Caenorhabditis elegans: one gene and its partners. The protein of the gene in region 3 interacts with the protein of the main gene of each other region in a pairwise test. Each region holds a gene or a part of one and is shown on either strand. Other genes may lie near its edges.

Region 1 (3,755 bases), on a different chromosome or scaffold from region 3:
AAAATCAAAGAGCGACTTGGTAGGTAAACTAAAATATTTAGTTTACCTACCAAGTCGCTCTTTGATTTTGAAATATTTAGTTTACCGCAGAGAAAATTATTCTACATACATCTATTTTTGCATCACTTGCGTTTAAGTCTACAAATGGAATTTGAAATTTGTAAAATCCTTGAGGAAATATGGCACTTTCAAGGAAAATGAAAATCGGAACGTTTTAATTTTTCAAAAAAAAATCCAATTGAGCAGAATATATAATTATTGAAAATATTGATAATCCAGTTCTTGATCTCTAGCAGCTGCATAAGACCTTCTTTTATCAGTTTCCTCGTAGCTTCTTCGGAGTTCCCATTGAGTTCCAGAATCTATTGTTGAACTGCTAATTGTTTGAATTTGTGAGTCTTTCTTTGTTGGCTTCTTTTCTGGTTCAATATTTGAAGATTTCTTTTTTCTTCCAACGAATATCCAAGAAACACAACAACAGCAACATACAAGTAAGAGAAGAACAAGAAGAATTACTCCGATTATTCTGAAAAAAGTTTAGTTTTCAAGATGTTCCTGTTTAAGATGTTCCAAATTAAGAAATCCAAAATTTCATCCCCTTATAGGGATGTTCTGAGAGATGTCTCATTCTACTACAGATGCTCAAATGAAAACTTAAATTTCTTCTGTGGATTTATATGACTTAGATGTGGATCTAGTTAGAGCTACTTTACAAAAAGCTTACATGGGTTCTTGTCTAAATCTCCAACAACAGTTTTCCAAGAACTCTCCACAACATTCATAATATGTGAAGAAAGAAGCAGTTGGACACCTCCTAAACGAGAAAAACGGAATTATTTGCCAATTATAATATTCTCCAACTTACATTGGAGCAGGTCGTGGTGAGTTAAAATACCACGGTCGGCGGCAAATGACGTCATTGTATGATTGAGATTTAACTGAAACAATTCTTTGACAAGGTATTTTAATAAAATTCATCATATTTTCCAATAAACTTGAAGCTAGGTGAGAAATATGGCTTGTAGCACCGAGATCGTGTCGAGACCCACTCAGAAATCCAGCGTGCGCCTTTCAAAATTAAATGGAAATCTCTAAAAAATGTTTATAGGTGAATTTCATCATACTATAGCGCCTTTTGAACTTTGAACTTTTAAAATTGTCGAAACTCACCATTTGAGATCAGAGTTAGATTTAAAATCAAAACGAATAATTTAAAGAGAAAGTGCATACTTATCGATAAAGCAGTATAACACAACTTTTCTGTCGACAAAGCTTGGAAGTTGTAGTGTCCAGAAAGCAAACATACACATATTCTCGCATAAGTTTCCTCGGCCTGTTGCGCACGTCTGACTCATATTTATTCATTCTAAACATCGCCCGAATTTCTGAAATTCTAAGAAGTACAGTAACCCGAATGGTCTCAAGGTAACCTATCTCCCCTTGAAATTAATTCAAGTTTGAATGAGAATTTTGCATGTTTCAAATTTTTCGTGACTCTCAATAACTACTGATTCTTGAAGTCTACATTACAGGCTATTAAATTAGAAATCGTAGGCCCGATTTTTATCAAAGTACCGTACCGTGTGAGTTTCAAGGGAGGCACGTTTTTGGGAAATGGTCTTGCGACGACATGGCAAGAATTGTTATTTTTTAAAGCGCCTTTTTCTGTTTTTGATTTTTCCCAATAAGTTTTTTATTTTATTCATAAAATATATCTTTTACATCTGAAAAAGCAAGTTTCTGAATGACAATGAATTTCTGTCGAAATTCAAATTCACAGCCGCACAGTTTTCGCGCCTAATTTGTCTGCGTCTCTTTACCGCGCACACTGTTTCGTCTACAACACTCCAGTGTTTCGGTACGCAGGTTGCCGCCAAAATTGAGTTTTGAATTTTAGGTGTCTTATTTCTCGTCGTTTTCCCGCATTCTCATTGTTTTCCTCTTCAGATTGCACCGACTTCCTGAATTTCTAGTTCTCTTTCTTACTTTTTCGATTAAGAAAGTTGCCTTAATTCTTTTTAAATCAATTCTTTCAGCATGGACAACATTATCGGCGGTCAAGCCCAGCAAGTGGAGGACACCGACGGAACTCGTGTGCAGAACGAGTTTTCCAAGTTTTTGAAGAGCTTCAAAGACCAGAAAAATGAGTTTATCTACAAATCTGCGATGAAGGAGCTCGTGCAACCAGAAAAGAATACCATTTTCATTAACATGCAACATCTCTACAAGTTCAGTAACAATCTCGCAACAACTATCGAGCTGCAATACTACAGGTAAATTAAATTCGATTAGTATTTTCGAATACTTATAAATATACTTCAGGGTCTATCCATTCATGTGCGAAGCTCTACACTTGGCCACTTTAGATGCTTGTGATGAAAGTGAGAGACAGCAAATGTTCAAGAAGCAATTGTACGTTTCGCTGTTCAATCTCGATGCGAAAACGAAAGTTCGTGAGCTTTCTGCGGACAAAGTCGGAGGCCTCGTGCGCATTGCCGGTCAGATTGTCCGAACTCACCCAGTGCATCCAGAACTTTCACGGGCTTGTTTCGTGTGTGAGGATTGCGGTGTTACCACACGTGATGTTCAACAGCAGTTCAGATACACTCAGGTATGCGGAGATAATAATTAGCTTATAACGAATTCAAATGTTTTCAGCCAACTAAATGTGCTAATCCTCAATGCATGAATCGTACCAGATTCAGTCTCGATGTCAACTCATCTACTTTCGTCGACTTCCAGAAGATTAGAATTCAGGAGACTCAAGCAGAGTTGCCTCGTGGATCAATTCCACGTACTGTCGATGTGATTGTTCGAGGAGAAATGGTTGAAACTGTCCAACCAGGAGATAAATGTGACATTGTTGGAACTCTTATCGTCATTCCAGATATTGCTCAATTGAGCACTCCTGGACTTCGTGCTGAGACTTCAAATCAGAACAGAGGTAAACAATTTTATTCGAAACTCATTTCTTAGTGGAAGTAGTTGTCGCAGATACCTTGATTGTCTTCTTTTTCGCTGGTTTCATACAGAAAACTCTTTCTCGAACAAAATCCATATAGATTTTTCTGGTAACAGGGGTAAAAATGAAGTATACTAGAAATACATGGCATGGCACCTGAGCTAGTCGAAAATAAGTGAATGCGAGCTTTCCGTCAAGCGAAAGATTTCCAAAGAGTTCCTGAAAACTTGCATAGTAAACGCTATTTCGTTGAATTTATACCGGAACAACTCGTAGAACAAGACTTGTTAGCTCATATACAGAAAGATAGAAAGCAGTGATAAAAGCTTGAATCATAAGCATTCGTTCAGTCTTCTTTTTCGCTTTTAAAACATCCGAAGGCATTGATGTAAACTGATCTCCATTCCCACGTCGGAACATATTTTTGATCTTTGTATATGTTGGTGATCTTTGAAGTTTGAAGTTTATAATAACTAGCACATTGAAAAAGAATGCTACGAACGGAAAGAATACAGAGTAATAATTGGAGAACGTTGTGATCTACAAATTAAATTATTAATTTTTGTAACACAGATATCATCCGTAGATCTACTTTACCTGATGCCTGTCTGGTGCACATTCAGATATGAATCCAACTTTTCGTATATCATAATTTATCCGACACTCACTCAGATAGGGAATAATAAGACATGCGAAATTGGCAGTCTGAAGAATAAATGTATCATTTGAAATCTTAGCATTTCAAGATACCATATGAAATGAAGTATAGAGCCATATTTTGCTAGAAGTGAAA
Region 2 (3,755 bases), on a different chromosome or scaffold from region 3:
ATTGATGGTAACGAACAAATTCGATATTTGCTTGTCGTGATATTCTCTCCAGTTCTCCTCCAACTTTTTTCTCTCTTCCTTTTTGATTTACAAGATTTACAATCACATGTTTACCACCATAGTGTTGCTTGTGCCACGAAAAAGCTCGATTGAAAGCAGCAAGCTGGTCATCTGTTGGTTTCAGTGTAGGCATCGGTTGCCAACGTAGATTTGGTTTTTGAGTCCAGAGAAGAGGAATAGAACCTCTCAATTGCACAAACGAAGTCAGGTGCTTGTCAGGATTCGTGTATTCAACGATTTGTTCTGTTTCAACAAAGTTTGCTGCATGACCATCTACGTCGACTCCACGTTTATAGAAACGGACGCCAGCACTGAAAAATTGAATTATACTAATAGTTTTTTTTTCAGAGAAAACTATGAAAAAACATGAAATTCGTACTAAAAAGGTTAATAATTATTTAAAACTAATATATCTTGGATTCAGACAAAACATTTTTGTGAAAAGCGAGCTCGTTGTTAGAAGTATTAATTTTTTGTCCAGAAAATCGAAATAAACGTTTTTTTAATTATTACAAATTTATTTAAAACATTTTTAAGTAAAAAAAATTACCGATAAATGCTTCTTCTGGATATGATAGTCAATTTAATCTCTTTTCCATTCACATTCACACGATTCTGGCCAATAAAACCATGAATAACGGGCAATGTGTATCTTTCTGCACCAGGGACCTGCCGGATCTGTGACAGTAGATGTCCATTCCATATGAAACGTTCGCTGGCTCTGTCCAACATACTTCTTGTTTTGAACAAAGGAACAGCGTTCTCCTGAAGCCATTGAAATGTGCGTGAGATGTCAAGAGTCGTCGAGTAGTAGAATCCGCCAATAGACAGCACATGAGTGAGCATATCAGTGAATAATCTATTATATCTAATTTGTTTCTCAGTCAAGTGAAGTGTTGTTTTCTTGTAAGGAATAATCTCGGCATCTTGAATAGTCCAGATGTTGTGATTATTAACTTGTCCGATCAAAGAAGCCTTTGTTATTACGATCAAAGCATATCCTGAGACTAGTTTAATTGTTCCCAAAATCCCATAAATAAACTTGATGTCCGTATCAGCAATTGGAACTCGCTGCTTGCGTGAATCTGTAATTATAAATTTATATTTAGATCAGACCAAAAGTCAGACTTACCAATAATTTTCATCACATTTGTGTGTCTATCGATTTCGAGATAATGTTTCGACGCAGCACCACCGCCGAGATCGGTTGGTTCTAAGAAGAATTTTTCTGGGTGTGAGTACAAGTTGAAACTCTCGTAGATGTCCATACTCAATAGACTATCCACCATTTTGGAGAGCTGAAAAGGGAATGAAGTTTGTTGTGGAAAAAAAATATGAAAAAGAAGAACGACGCATGAAAACAAAAAAATCAATAAGAGATACAACAATAGTGATAGAATACATGAAACATGTTTTCTTTGAATGCGAAAACGTGGAAACGGGTGACGACACTCCGTCTTTCATATGGGAGCGTTGTTTACCGTAAATCTACACAGACATTATTTTAAATTAATTGTATTTTTATTCTTTATATTTTTATACTTTGTGAACGTTTCGTTTCTTAAAAATTGAAGAATAGTGGTGTTTATATTAAAATCTCTCAGTCCTGATGTAAATGTGCATATTTTTAATCTATCTCTCCCACTCGGCCACCACCATGACGAAATACTTTTCTGCCATCCTCCTCCCACTAATACATTATTTAAACTGCTGAATCTTTCGAAATTGCATTGCATCATTAAAAATGATTTTACAGAAAATGGCGCTAACTAATCGACTTTTAATGAATTCGTCAGCTCTTCTAAGGTAGGCCGATAAATTAAATTATTGTGAGGGGGGCAATTATATTATTTAGAAGTTCAACGCTCCCATTAGCTGTGACATCATCACGACAGGCCCATGCTGCACATAATACTGTCATCAATTTTGTTCCACAGCAAGAAGCGTGGGTTGTAGAAAGAATGGGAAAGTTCTACAAGATTCTTGAACCGGTAACATTTCCTAAAAGGTAATTAATAAACCAACTTTTTCAGGGACTCAACTTCTTATTGCCTATCATTGATAAAATCAAATTCGTTCAAAATCTTCGTGAAATTGCAATTGAGATTCCTGAGCAAGGAGCCATTACAATTGACAATGTACAACTCAGGCTCGACGGAGTTCTTTATTTGCGTGTTTTCGATCCCTACAAGGCATGTGACGCCTGTTTTTTGATTCGCCTGTAATTGAAAAATAACACTTCTTTGTAAATTGCAGGCATCGTACGGAGTCGATGACCCAGAATTCGCAGTAACTCAATTAGCGCAGACAACGATGAGAAGTGAAGTTGGAAAAATCAATTTGGATACAGTATTCAAGGAGAGGGAATTGCTCAATGAAAATATTGTATTTGCAATCAACAAAGCATCAGCACCTTGGGGAATTCAATGTATGCGATACGAAATCAGAGATATGCAGATGCCATCAAAAATTCAAGAAGCTATGCAAATGCAAGTTGAAGCTGAGAGAAAGAAAAGAGCCGCGATTTTGGAATCAGAAGGAATCAGAGAAGCTGCCATTAATAGGTATAATATTTTTCCAATTACACATTTCATTCAGTAACATCGTGAGAGTTGTAAAAATATTCTAAATTTAAACATTTCCAGGGCCGAAGGAGACAAGAAATCAGCTATTTTGGCGTCTGAGGCTGTTCAAGCCGAACGTATCAATGTAGCAAAGGGAGAAGCAGAAGCAGTAATCCTTAAAGCCGAATCTCGTGCCAAAGCTATTGAACGTATTGCATTGGCTCTTGAGAAAGATGGAGGTGCAAATGCTGCTGGATTGACCGTTGCAGAGCAATATGTTGGAGCTTTTGGAAATCTTGCCAAGGAATCAAATACTGTTGTTCTTCCGGCAAATCTCAGTGATCCAGGAAGTATGGTTTCTCAAGCACTTGCTGTTTACGACTCATTGAGCAATAAGAAAAAGTGAAAATGTTTTGTTTGAGTTTATGTGCAAGCGTAGTTTCCGTTTCTCCATTTTCATATTTCCCTGTTTCTAAATTTTGGTTTACTGGTATTTGAATGTAATTTTACATCATCTTTTCAAAAATCTCTTGATTGTTCGTTATTCTAAATTTTCAGCAGATGAATTAGTTGAATTTTCATTTGAATTCAATTTAAAATGCAGATAACATGATTTTCAGAGGAAAACTGTTTAGTGAAAAATTTGAAAATAATAAACAAAATTTTCTTTAAAAAACTTGATCAACATTGAAAACTATTCTTGTAATAAGTTCCATTAGCTTTCAACAACATCTCACGAAACTGTGGAAAGTAGGAAAGCCATTGAGAATCTGGATTATTTCCTGTTTTATTGGTTTTTATCATTTCACGAACGCAAATTATCGTTCCAAAATCGAAGTTGGCGGTCACTTTGTTTGCTGAAAAATCAATTTATTTATAAACATGAATGTTCAAAAATCACCAATAACCATCGGACTTTTTGAAAGTTCTTGTAGAAATTCGACTCCAATTACACATATTGAATGCCTTAACCACTTGGATTTACAATCTTGATATAGTCCGTCGGATTGTTCAAGATGCCAATGAGTTTGACTGTAATTTTCAGTTTTCTATTTGCAATGTAAGCCTGCCTTCAAGGTGACCTACACGAGCCTGATTCTGCACTTGGTACACTTGGAAATTATTATCATT
Region 3 (3,755 bases):
GCAACTTTTAGTCTCCTGCTGTTTACAAAATATTCCATTCAGCCGAGCTGGAACGACCTTCACATCCCTTTTAACGCGCCATGGATCCTGTCGTGTATGCATTTAGTAACGGGATTGTCCTTTTCCAAATAGAATAAAAATCGATCTAAATTGAATCATACTTCATTTCCAACTATAATCAAGTTTCCATTAAATCGATCTATTTCTTTTCAGTCGGAGTCAACGTTGATTTGATCAGCTTATCCGCAAACTGCACCTTCTTTCCATTGGGCTTCTCAACAATTTTCCGCTCTTCTGGGACTGTTAATTTGGATATTCCTTTCTCGGATCTGAAATAATTTACAAATAATTGGTTAAAATTTCAATTAAAAAAACCAACCCTGCAGCTTTTCCTAATTCCATGTTAATAACTTGAGTATGCTGTGAATCCGTTTCAGTTTTCTTTTGCAATGTGGTTGCTTTTTGAAGGTTTTTCTTTCCACGAAGCATTTTTATAGAGTTCTGGCTGAAAAATAGAGTTTCAAGTAAATTTGTTAGCTTTTCAATTTTCATTTGAGGGAAACAAAAACTTACATAACACTTTTCTTACTCTTTGTTTCTTCTTTCGGTGGCTCTGGTTTTACCATCACACTATCTTTTGGTATTGCAGTTGTTTCAATTGGAGACACAATAGAAGTCGACGCTGATTTTTTTGTACTGGAAACAAATTGTATTTTGTGGCACAGAATGGGTGAAATTAATTATTCCACAGAAAGGATTGCACTAAATAATAAACAAACCGAGAATCTGCATTCTTCGTTTTTGATCCTCCACCTTTTTGACTGCATAATATCAAAACTCCAGAAATCAGTGATATAATGAGTGCCATTGAAAAGATTTGTGATTTGAGAAGTATCAGATGAATATAGAAATTATTCCAATTTGAGAGCATAGTTGGAAATCTCACCAAATTTTGAAATTTGAAAATGAGTTAGTAATTTTTGAACAATCTGCCAGAGATTAATTAAAGATAAGGAATATCCACAAATTACAAATATTGGATATTAAATATGATTTCACGTCATAACTGAGATTTGTATAATATCATAATTGTACGGAAATATTTAGGTATTAGTATTTCAGCTCACAATCAGACTTTTTAATGAAAACTTAATTCAAAAGGGGATATCTTAAATATCATTACAAAACCTTGTTAGCAGCAGAACTAGAAAGTTTAAAAAAACACCGATTTGTGGTGCATAATGTACAAACATCCATTGACAACATTTCTTTAAAAAATAATTTTTTACTAAAACATTTTGAAGTCAAAATTAAATTTTTTCAAAAATAAAAAATTTACGGGCCTCTAAAGTAGTGGAAAATGCACAGCAAAGTATTCAGATAGACTTTTTTCTTGTTCAAAATGCACCTTTGCCACTAAACCGAAATTCTTGCCTTGTTCATTAATTGTTTCAAGTTTGTAGGATTTTTAGAACTTTGAAATATCTAAATTATTTGTATTCTGAAAAATATTATCATTTCGCAACAAAAAACTAGAAGCAGAATAATTTATTGTGAATCTTGCTATTTTTTATAGTTTGTGAAATTTTTTATACTTCCACATTTCATGAACAGTTTGGTTTGGCCACATGACTAAGGCGTGACCCACATAGAAAACATCAGGTGCCTTTGAAGCAATATTTCACATCTTCGCAAAGCTAAGGTCATTGTTATTTTTGCCATTTCATGACTATAATGGCATCATTTTATTCCCCCAATTTAACCAAAAGTCAGATGCAAAATGTTGAAAGTGTTGCAATTTCAAAGTAGAAAATGTAACTAAACTGTCAAAGAAAATTGTCATACTTTGACCAGAAACCATCTCCCCATCCACCTCCCCTCATCGGAGCCACCCGCCAATCCCAAAATGGTACCTAACATTACTGACACTCTCCCGCACTCAACAATTGACACCTGTCTCAATGACTGATAAGCATGCTGAGTCTCTTCAATCCGCATGGTCTCTAAGCTACTTTCAGAATTGCAACATGCTGCGATGGACATCTTGTCGAAGTTTAAGAGTATGTATAAAAGGACACGAGCTTCATGTATTCTTCACTCGGTCACTTAGATCGATCAATCACTATGAAGTTCTTCATAGCGCTTGCTCTCTTGGGAGCGGCACTCGCCTCGACCCATTTGGATCGTTACAACTCCATCGAGAGAAATATTCAAGAATCGTAAGTTACTTTTTAAATCATTTTTGAGAGTTGACCCTTTTTATATTTCAATTATTTTCAAAAATATCAATCACATTGTACTCCTTTTCAGCTCATTCCGCGCCGGACGCGAGTACCGCTACCTCTTCAATGGCCAGCTCTCTGCCGGACTTCCAGTCCCATCTACCCCACAAGGAATCTCACGTCTTCAATCTCAAGTTACCCTCCAATGGACTGATGGAAACACCGTCCGCATGCAACTCCAGAAGACCCGCTTCGCAACCTCTCAGCAAGAGTCCAACTCCATGAAGATGCTCCCATTCGAGCGTTTCGAGGAGGTTGAGCGCATGAACCGTGAGCACCAAGAGCTTTTGAGCATGCCAGTTGAGTTTGATTACGAACACGGACTTGTCAGAGAGATCCGTTTTGCTGAGAACGATCAGCCATGGTCAGAGAACATCAAGAGAGCCGTCATCAACATGCTTCAAGTCAACATCCTCAAGAAGGAGAAGTACGAAGGAGCTGAGAAGAGTGACAACCAAGAACCAACTTTCTCTTTCACCAATGTTGAGGTAAGTTCTAAATATACATATATATTTGAGTTCGAAATTTGAATAATTGAATTTCAGCGCACCCTCGAAGGAGAATGCGAGGTCCTTTACACCGTTGAAGAGATCAAGAAGGAGGATGAGCAACGTTGGGCTAAGTCGATCAACTTCGACAAATGTACCCGCCGCCCATACATCCATCACGTGCAGACTCCAGTGTGCAAGGATTGCCAGCAAACTCTTGAGCAAGACAAGATGAGCTCCACAGTTCTCAACTACAACATCACTGGAACTTCATCAAGCTTCCTCATCAACTCCGTTGAACTTCGCTCCCAACACCTTTTTGCCCCAATCTCCGAGAAGCATCAACTTGTTTCTGCCTTCACCTTGAACACCATGGAGCTTATCTATGCTGGAGAGAAGAAGACCGAGATCAAGCAAGTCCGCAATGAGAAGACTTCCGAGCTTGTCTACAACCAGGAATCCGAATGGGCTGAGCAACAATGGGCTCAAACTGGAGAGGAGAAGTACCTTAGACAACTCCCACAATGGACCGAGAACAAGGTCGAGATGATCAAAAAGATGTTCTCTTTGATGGCCAAGCAAATCGAACAAGGAGAGGCTGAGCTTGAGGCTGCACACACTGTTGCCAGAATCGTCAAGGTTCTCCGTGAGTGCAACGAGGAGCAACTCGAACAAATCTACCGCCACGTCGCTGAGCACAAGGATGAGAAGATTGCTGAGCAACTTCGCTCCATCTACTTCAACACCCTTGCTCTCGCCGGAACTCGTGTCACCATTCAACAATTCGTTGACAAGGTTCAATCTCGCAAGAACATTGCTCCACTCAAAGCCTCCGTTGCCATCAAGACACTCGTCGACATGCGCTACCCATCTCTTGCTATTGCTGAAGATATCGCTCGCCTTTGCGAATCCGATGTATCTTCAAGCTTCCCAGCTCTTCGTCAATCCTGCTGGCTCACCTACGGAGCTATTGTCAATGGAGTGT

The links.
Region 1: the proteins of vit-6 (region 3) and mcm-6 interact in a two-hybrid assay, tested with the Caenorhabditis elegans proteins (one large-scale study listed by BioGRID).
Region 2: the proteins of vit-6 (region 3) and stl-1 interact in a two-hybrid assay, tested with the Caenorhabditis elegans proteins (one large-scale study listed by BioGRID).

What each region holds. Positions count from the first base shown.
Region 1 is NC_003281.10:9,792,331-9,796,085, forward strand, and holds the start of mcm-6 (DNA replication licensing factor mcm-6), read left to right. Parts: upstream 1-2,036; 5' UTR 2,037-2,037; coding exon 2,038-2,273; intron 2,274-2,322; coding exon 2,323-2,611; intron 2,612-2,658; coding exon 2,659-2,944; exon of another isoform or gene 2,945-2,965; coding exon of another isoform or gene 2,966-3,181; intron 3,182-3,223; coding exon of another isoform or gene 3,224-3,502; intron 3,503-3,559; coding exon of another isoform or gene 3,560-3,667; intron 3,668-3,712; coding exon of another isoform or gene 3,713-3,755. Other genes in the region: R10E11.9 (uncharacterized protein), read right to left, coding at 256-526, 725-814, 866-938, 1,171-1,228; srxa-10 (Serpentine receptor class XA 10), read right to left, coding at 2,966-3,181, 3,224-3,502, 3,560-3,667, 3,713-3,755.
Region 2 is NC_003279.8:9,486,091-9,489,845, reverse strand, and holds stl-1 (Stomatin-like protein stl-1), read left to right. Parts: upstream 1-1,816; 5' UTR 1,817-1,819; coding exon 1,820-1,866; intron 1,867-1,915; coding exon 1,916-2,051; intron 2,052-2,093; coding exon 2,094-2,252; coding exon of another isoform or gene 2,253-2,256; intron 2,257-2,316; coding exon 2,317-2,624; intron 2,625-2,705; coding exon 2,706-3,030; 3' UTR 3,031-3,201; downstream 3,202-3,755. Other genes in the region: sacm-1L (Phosphatidylinositol-3-phosphatase SAC1), read right to left, coding at 1-371, 611-1,145, 1,193-1,349; gly-21 (GLYcosylation related), read right to left, coding at 3,306-3,481, 3,526-3,656. UniProt on the Caenorhabditis elegans protein: Mitochondrial protein that probably regulates the biogenesis and the activity of mitochondria.
Region 3 is NC_003282.8:8,259,049-8,262,803, forward strand, and holds the start of vit-6 (Vitellogenin-6), read left to right. Parts: upstream 1-2,124; coding exon 2,125-2,219; intron 2,220-2,310; coding exon 2,311-2,770; intron 2,771-2,827; coding exon 2,828-3,755. Other genes in the region: K07H8.7 (Lipoprotein), read right to left, coding at 200-329, 380-505, 574-696, 780-931. UniProt on the Caenorhabditis elegans protein: Precursor of the egg-yolk proteins that are sources of nutrients during embryonic development. May play a role in cholesterol uptake. May be involved in thermotolerance.